2 separate regions of the Mus musculus genome follow, and region 2 is reported to be linked to region 1. Evidence: microRNA targets listed by miRTarBase, many of them from high-throughput screens and not tested one by one. Region 1 holds a microRNA gene; the other region holds the end of a gene's coding sequence.

Region 1 (4,350 bases):
GCTCTGGATGTCTTTTAACACAGAAATGCTAGATGCTCTACACCTCCTGAATGAGTTTCCTGGAGGACATCCTATTTCCAGTGCATCGGCCCTCCAGGAGACTCACTGGCTTAGCACAGCACCAGTTTATTACAATGCCTATCATAACCCTATGCTGGTCTCCAGGGCATGTGGTAAGTTAAGGCCGTTCTGCTGGCCCAGGGCTGCCCATTCACCACGGGAGATGCATACTGTGACAAGAAACACCAGAGCAGGATTGTTGTACCCAGTATCACTAACTCATCCGTGCAGTTAGGGGGCTGCTTCTCCAGACTGCACACCCCTGCCCAAGGCCCATGCACACTTGGACTAGAACATTCTGCAGTGGCTCGGGTCTAATTTGATGCGCTGAGAAGCTAGCAAACCGGTGTAAAGCCGGTTGGTCCTTCTGTTATTTCATTAACCAAACAAGTTAGGTTTTCCAACAGGCCACAGGGAGCATAAACCTCCTTCACTGGGAAAGCAATGGCAAGAGGCCGGTCCCCCTACCCACCTAATGCCCACAGAACAAAGGCCGGGCCCTATCCTTTTAGAGGAAACAGAGGTTTTGGTTCCCTAACTTAATGATAATTAACTAAGGTAGTCAGTGCTATAATTTCTCAGGAGGCTTTATTAACTAATGAGGAAGGACTCCCGCCACAGGCCCGCAAGAGCCCCACCTGGACTTCTTCCCAGCCTGTAGGTAGTCTCACTACCCCACACAGAACCAAGACCACTGTCTTAGCATATAGCACTTAACTCCAGCTAGTTCTCCAATAAGCATATCTTGCGTTTTTTCTAAGATATTCAAACCTGCAGATAACGCGCACAAGCATACAATAAGAGTGTCAGGCCAGTTTTCTCGGAATGGAAAAGTCGTAGGCCACATTTCCTCTCTGTCCCCACACTCCAGGCCTGAACCAAGGAAATGCCAAAAAAAAACTTTCCATTTCTTAGGAAAACATGATTTCCCGGGCTCCATAAACTTTCCAGAGGGGTTCCCACGTGTCTGTTACTAGTTGGGTCTCCTGAGCGCCGCCTGCCCCGGCCCCACCCACTGCACCCGGCGGCCGCTCGCCCGGAGCTGGGGACGCGCCTCCGGGTCTGGACCGGTTTTCAGGAAGCTGGTGATCTCTCGCACCGCTTTTTAACCGCTTCTTCCAACTCCCAACTCCCTGGCCAAAGCAAGAGCATGGTGCGGCCGCTCTGCTAGTGCCGGGTTCGTGCACACTCCCTGGGCCTCTTCCCCTTCCAGATGCCCTAGTGGTTTGGGATTGTGTCCAGGAGCCCGGGATCTAGCCAGGAGCAGGAAGGTGGGAGCGACCTCAGTGAGGTTCCTGTCGTCCAGACACAGCAAAGCTAGGCGTGCGTGTGTCCATGAAACTCACCTGGACCTCTGCAGCTGCTCCAAGGCGCTGGTGCTGCCGCCCTGGCCTGACTGCTCCAAGGCGCAGTAGTTCTGCGAGTTCTGCCTGGAGAAGGCGATGGGCAGGATTCCCTGAGTGAACGAGTTGAGGCGGCCCCGACTGCCGCTCGTACTCCCGGGGGTCCCGGAGCCCAAAAAGCTGGCCGATGGCACCTGCACGTTGGTGAAGGCATCGTCCTCCTCCAGCTCCTCCTGTCCGGCGCCTCCCGGCCCGTCAGGCAACTGCAGCTGAGCACCGGTGACAGCTGGAGCTGAACGGGGCGGCTGAGATGGCTCTCCCAACACCCGGGGGACCAGAGACGGCGGCAGCGGGCAAGGGCTGGAACCCGAGCCGGCGGTCCACGGCGCGGCCGCGGTGCCCGGTGCCGAGAACGCGTTGCAGCCAGCGGCCAGCAGGCTGAGCCGAGCCCTTGCTCCGGGCTTGGTCCCGCCGCCCTCCTCGCCGCCGCCCCACTCGTGGTCCTGCAGCGGAGGCCGTCCGTCCAGAGAAATGTTGGTGAGGAAGGACAGGGCAGCCTGGCGGCGCCGCGGGTCCATGCGCGGCTTACGAAGAGGTTCCGGCGGCGCGGTGGCCGGAGGAGGCGGCGGCGGCTGCACCCCGCTGGTGGCCGCGGCGTCCGTGCTGCCGCCGCGACTGCTGCTGCTGCTGCTGCAGGCGGCCGTGCCCGCGGTGGCGGTCGCCGCCGCCATTGTGTCCGTCTGGGGCGTCAGTTCCCCGGTACCCGAGAAGCGAGTGGCGGGTGCCGAGTGCTAAGCCGCGGCCGCGAGCCCCGGCGACCCGGGCTGGGCAGGGCGCGGGGCGCGGGCGGTGTGCGAGGCGGTCCTACCCTCCCGCGGGCGGGCCATGCTCGGCCCTGGGCGTTCGGGCGCCGCTGAGAGCCACACGCGCCTGGCTCGCCCTCCGCGTCCCGGACCCACGCGCGCCTGGCCGACCCTCCGTGCCGCGCGATCACGGGCTCCTGGCCGGCCGGTCGGTATTTATAAGTGCGCGCGCCCCGCGCTCGCGCTCCGGAGCGCTCTTTGCAATAACACAGTATCACGTGTGGGGAATGAGACCTGGGAGGAAAACAAAGCCGCAGGCGGAGACCGCAGCGGCGGGAGGCGACCGCGCAGGAGGCGGTGAAAAAGGAGGAGGGAAGTAGAGCTCGGCGCGTGTCAGGGCGGGGGCTCACCGGGCCGGTCCCCACGGTTCCAGCTATTCCTGGGGCACGCGGAAGCCAGGTGCTGGAGGCGAGCACGTCACCTCTGTACGTTCGAGCGGAGAACCGCGGGTGTCAGTAGAGCCGGATGAGCCGCAGCCCAAGCTTGTGCTCGGGTAAGAGTTACGGGGCGATCACCTGGAGCCTTTGCACCCGACCCAGTAACCAAATTTGGTGTTACCCATGGGCCTGGACACACCGGTTCTTGTTAACAGATACACCTTCCTATGTGGACATCCCCACCGAAAGTGTTGCTAATCACTGGGATGTGACACCACTATTTCGCAGACCCAGGGGGCGGCTGCCAATATAAATGTAAAGGAGCCCACCTAGTTGCCTGGATGTGTGAGCACCTTCTAAGTGGCCCAGCTGATTAATATACACACCACTGGTGCTCTTAGCAAAGGACAGACGGCATTTGCCCTGAAAATGTAATGGATTTTCTGTGAAGATCTGAGCAGGTTAGAATAATCTTACACTCAAATGTCTGCAAGTCTTTTATTCCTCTATAAACGGGGATTGATAGACTCATTTGTTTCGTCAACGTCTGTTTGGCCCCTGGTTTTATGTTCCAGAAAGATGGGTTCCTGCCTAGGGACACCGTGACTCTGGGTCTAGGAAGACCCACCCCACAACCCCAACAAATGGTTTTAGGAAGAGCAACTGCGGGGCTACCCAGCCACTTTCCAAAGACCCCTGCTGAGTTCTCTAAGGCCTGGGCGACTTATTAAATACTGTATGACACAATTGTCGTCCTGAATTTCTGCGACACCTAAGAAGCCTTACGAAGAAGGCTTCTCTAAGGGAGAAGCAAAGTGTTTAAGATGAACGGATTAATTTAATTAGAGGTTTAAATTTAGCCTTGGAGCTAATGGGTAATTCTACATCGAAATTCCACTCCTTTTCAAGTTCAGCAGAGTAAATTATGTAGCTGAGAGCAAGTATACACGGCTTGGAGATGTGCAGCCAGCCCAGAGTCGGAGATAGGCGGGGTTTGGGTTACATGAACAGGGATAAACAGGTCTCATGGCTGTTTGTATGAACCATTGTTTATATTTAATTTTGGGCCATATTTAGGCCTTATGAAAAAGCAGAGGCCTGTCTGCAGCAGACTCACTAGTGACCAACTGAATTTCATCAGGTTTTAAATACTTTAACTACTTTGAAACTTCAAGTCACTTTATTACAATTGACGTAATTTACCTGATCGCTGGCCAAGCTTTTTGTTTTATTTTTTTGAAAATAATGTTAAGTGAGACTACAATTCTGCTCCTGTAAAAGAGTACACACACACATATATACTATTTTATGACACCCCTCCAATAAAGGATGTTTTCAACAAACACGAGGGGGAAATCACTAACAATCTTATCATCTATGGTAATATTTTTGTTTCTATCTTGAAATATCAAGAAAAGAACAGTGACAGTCTTTGTATTATAAAATATATATATGAAATATATTATAATATAGATAAGCACTATTATAATATATGACATGTTATATAATATATATTTTGTATGTTTATAAAATTTTTTCCCTTTTGGGGGTAGTATTGAGGACTCAGGGTTGTATGTATCCTAGGCAATCCTCCATCATTGAGCTATCTCCCCAGCTCTCTTGTTCTTAAATTTTGAGACCAGGCCTCTATAGCCTCAAGTGGCCCTGAACTCACTTTGTAGTATAGACAAGCCTTGAACTTATGAG
Region 2 (4,350 bases), not on the chromosome of region 1:
ACAGCAAGACAGTGATGTGGATTAGCTTCGCACACAACATTCAGAACACTGAATATTCCCTTGTTTAAAAATAAGTGCAGTGCAGATTGCCACTTTCCAGTATTTTGAGCTTCCCTAATGAGTTATGGAGCATTTATATCTAATGTATATTTTAGATAATTTTTATACTTTTTTAACTCATCAGCCCCACCCCTACTTGATTCATCCTATCCCCAAACTGCCACTCAGCCTGGATGGGCAAAAATCAAGCATTGAAGTTATTTCTGTCACTGGACACAATTGCTTCCAATTCCCTTTTCTGCTTTTCATTTGTCCTCTTTTCCTGGTGACAGCTACGAGTGCTGTCCAGCTGTATTGGCCATGCCTTCTACTCCAATGCCCCCAAGTATTTCCTCTCTCCCCTCGTCCCCAAAGCAAGACCCAGTTCTCAAGCAGTGTCTGTAGTTGAGTGGAAGTGAGCAATGAGTATTCATGCAAGGACTTCATGTCTGTGATATGCATAGCAGGACCCAAGTGTAAACAGTAGACAATAAACTTTATTTAAGAAAACTGTTGCAGTTGTGATGAAAAATAAAGAGATTCCTATTAAGTGTTCTCTAAGAGTATTTCTGTAGGTTCACTGTATTTCTACAGAGCAGATCTGCATATGCTTGAGAGGGTCAAGTATGGTCATATTTTAGTTCTAAATTACTCAATGGCAGGAGCTAGGGTCCTTGGGAAACATTTTACTCTTCATTTGACACCACCCAGTTCTTTGTACATACTTTATTTTACTTATTTTCAAAAGTACAGTTTTCAGTAGGAACAGGAGGTAGGGCTAACTTAGCTTGAGCTAAGGTCAGACACTGGAGAACACCCTGTATTTTAGAACCCACTTTCTGAGTTTTCCAAATGAACGAAAAAAAGTTGTGAGGAGTGAAGACACCAGATGGCCAGCTCCAGATCTGGCTCTACCTCTGAGGTACAGACCCTGGTAATGAAATGTGCTACTGACACGTCTAAGATGTAGCTGTCACTTCTCAGTTACACTCCCACAGGAAAGAGACCCAGGGGCCAGGGAAGATGGGGTACACCTTGTATCTCGGCCGATACTCAAGGCCATTTTTTTTTATTGCACCTGGTCCTATACCTGCTCTATGGAAAGGACGAATGTGTGGAGCCTGTGTCTTCATTTCAAAAGAGGGAAGGAAACGACACAGTGAAATAGATGTCCTAGGGAACTTACAGGCAAAAGTTGGTATATTTGGGGAGACAGGGCCATGATTATAAACACAAAAGAAAACATTGGAAGGGTCAGAGTCACAGGGAAGGCTACTGTGCTATACTGGGTGTTAATTTTCACACTCATTAGGAATGCAGACTTGGACTACAAAGTTCCAGAATTATTTCCATCCTTAAGAAGTCCAGTATAAAGATTTGTATAAAGAGCTTACATTTTTGTGCATAAAAATGTGTGTCGGCAATAACACTTAGCGTCTATACCTACTGTACCTGGGAAAAGCGCTTTTATAAGGTTCCCAGGATCTACCCTGGACCTAGGTTGCAAACGTGTTGAGCTGGCCAACAAGCATCATGCCGACTGCTGCTGGTGGCTGAACTGACCTTTCTTGAGCTGATGTAATCAGCTGAGGTAATCACAGTAGCAGAGCTCATCAGACCAGAGCAGAGCCAGAACACTGGAACAACTCCTGGGTGAACTTTAGGCCTAGCATATACTAGAAACCATTTCTGCATTTCTTGTGTAGTCTGATTGTTTCAGATAATTGGCTAATATACCTGCCTATACTCATGGCTACTGACATCCATATATATGTAGAATCCATGTTAATCTTTTTCCTATGGGTTTAGTTTTGTAAAACAATATTTTCGGAGGTAAGGTTAGGAAACTGAAGTGTGTGCACACTTGAAGGAAGGATCCCGAGTTTTCATATATTTTTAATATATTAAGAATTAGCGGGGCATGGTGGCGCACGCCTTTAATCCCAGCACTCCGGGAGGCAGAGGCAGGCGGATTTCTGAGTTCGAGGCCAGCCTGGTCTACAAAGTGAGTTTCCAGGACAGCCAGGACTATACAGAGAAACCATGTCTCGAAAAACCAAAAAAAAAAAAAAAAAAAAAAATTAAGAATTAACTATGTTCACTATTGAAGCATTATCTTGGTACACTTTTAGGAATGAAGTGGCCTTATGAGAATATTAAATACAGTTTAAAAATTATTTCTGAGGGCTGAAAAGATGGCTCAGCAGGTAAGAGTACCAACAAACTGTTCTTCCGAAGGTCCGGAGTTCAAATCCCAGAAACCACATGGTGGCTCACAACTACCTGTAATGAGATCTGATGCCCTCTTCTGGTGCGTCTGAAAACAGCTACAGTGTACTTAGCTATAATAAAAAATGAATCTTCAAAAAAAAATTATTTCTGAGACATAGAGTGTCATAATGTAACCCAAACTGGCTACATTTATGATCCTCCTGCCTCAGCCTCCAACGGTGGATTATAAGCATGTACCACAAGTAGCTACACTTTGACCACAAATGTTATGCTGTATTGATTTTACATCTACTACCCAAATGAATCCCATATAGTACATTAATTAGAATTAGGAGAAACTGGTAAGTCCCTACTGGGGTCTCTCTTTTAAAACTCTTATTTTTGCTGGGTGTGGTGGTGTGTGCCCTTTAATCCCAACACTCAGGAGGCAGAGGCAGGCAGATCTCGGAGTACAAGCTGAGCCTGGTCTATAGACTAAGTTCCAAGACAGCCCCAGGGCTGTTACACAGAGAAACTCTTTCTTGAAAAACAACAACAACAAAAAAACCCCCAAGTCTTCTTTTGCTTGCCATGTGTGGTGCTACACATCTTTATTCCCAGAACTTTGGAGAGGCAGAGACAGACAGATGAATCGCTCGGAGTTCAAAGCCAGCCTGGTCTGCAAAAGAAGTTCCAGGCTAGCCAGGGCTACATGGCGATACCCTGTCTTAAAACAAGACAACAAAAACCCAACCTAATTTTTAAATGTGAGCCTAATAAATAGCTATTTGCAGACTTCAGTACATGATTTTAGGAATTATGGGTAGAAATAGCTGACCTAATTGGGAGCTTGAGTCTATTCCTGAGAAGTACCCTCACCTTCTAGACCAGGTGAGTTTAATAAATTTAAACATACCTAACTATACACTCATTTCCATGAGTATTTAACAAATTTAAATGAAGGTTATATCCTCTCTGTAATTATAATTCCATACCACATGCATCTGTGCTGCTTTTACGAAAAAAGCTGATTTATGACCTACATTGAACTTAATTGAATACACTGAATAGTGAAGGCCGCATGGTTTCATTTACAAATCATGGCCAGTGTCCTCCTTGGCCTTAAAATTTGAGGAAGGGCACTTCGAATGGCTTCGAGTTGGCGTGTTTCAGAGCCAGACCGTAGGCGTAGACCTTGGCATCCACTGTAAGGTGTTGTTCTGCTCCCAAAGCTAAAGAAGCAAAGATGACAGTTTAGAGACTGCAGACAGTGAGAGGAGTGTAGTCAATCACTGTTCACACTGTATGCCACTTGCCAGGACTAGGTGCTGGGGACACACTATCTTTAAAATTAGAGTAAAGGATAAAAAGTAGCAACGTAGCAGATGACTAATCAGGCTCAGTTCTCAGCCACACTGGCCCAGTGTCTCCTGCTTTCCTAGCCAACTGGGAAAAAGTTCAAAACTGAACGATTCTCTAAGTCTGGGTTCATGTCCTAGCCACCTATGAATGGCAGGAGTGTTGGCTGCCACTCTGTTACAAACTAACATTGAAGTATTGATTAGTATGTTTTGAGTATACTGAAGTTAGGTAAAGTGGTTCTTTTTTCTGAATATCCCCTTGGAAGACCAGAGGGGAAGTCAGGTGGATATAGAGAAAGAATTTTTAAAAAGAATATTCTATAAATAAAACATATTATTTAAGCACCTGGAAACAAGGTACTTTGTCTATATTATCTGTTTAATTCTTCTCATGCATCCTCAGAGAGAGGGATTTACTCTTGATTTAGGAAAATGAGAGGCTAGAAGCTGATAAAGAATAATGGTGACACAGCTCAAACCCTGTCAGGGCCATCAGATCATTCATTGGCTATACTGCCTAACATTGGTTGCCACAGCTTTTCTGAGTAATTGACATTTAATTTGGCTTTGAGTACTGAGATTAATTTACCTCAGGTCTAGTTTTTGAAAAGGTGGAGAAATCGAAGCTGTCTAGGAATGTGAAATCATAGTTTTTTGAAAGGTATTAACTTTTCAAACAACTAGATATTTCAAAATCGAGCTCTCTGCTTAAGTGAAGCCATAGCCACTGGTGGGGTGG

Evidence for each region. Region 1 holds the annotated microRNA mmu-miR-1901 (CCGCUCGUACUCCCGGGGGUCC, at 1,548-1,569, shown strand). A microRNA usually pairs through its seed, bases 2 to 8, with sites in the 3' UTR of a target mRNA and lowers its output. Matches are read on the target gene's strand: a 7mer-m8 pairs with bases 2 to 8, a 7mer-A1 pairs with bases 2 to 7 and ends in A, and an 8mer does both.
Region 2: the mRNA of Nudt5 is a reported target of mmu-miR-1901. Seed matches in the 3' UTR shown: 7mer-A1 at 2,903-2,909.

What each region holds. Positions count from the first base shown.
Region 1 is chr18:11,837,590-11,841,939 of GRCm38, reverse strand. Mir1901 (microRNA 1901) reads left to right here and starts at 1,502; the gene lies at 1,502-1,579. It overlaps Cables1 (CDK5 and Abl enzyme substrate 1), which reads right to left and starts at 2,666. Exons shown (of 10, transcript NM_001146287.1): 1 at 1,407-2,666. The coding sequence starts at 2,134. Gm6277 (predicted gene 6277) reads left to right here and starts at 2,563. Exons shown (of 4, transcript NR_045421.1): 1 at 2,563-2,759.
Region 2 is chr2:5,867,221-5,871,570 of GRCm38, reverse strand. Nudt5 (nudix (nucleoside diphosphate linked moiety X)-type motif 5) reads right to left here. Exons shown (of 10, transcript NM_016918.3): 10 at 2,835-3,482. The coding sequence ends at 3,373. It overlaps Sec61a2 (Sec61, alpha subunit 2 (S. cerevisiae)), which reads left to right. Exons shown (of 12, transcript NM_021305.4): 12 at 1-594. Among named protein-coding and RNA genes, the nearest start is that of Gm13199, 6.5 kb to the right of the region's middle.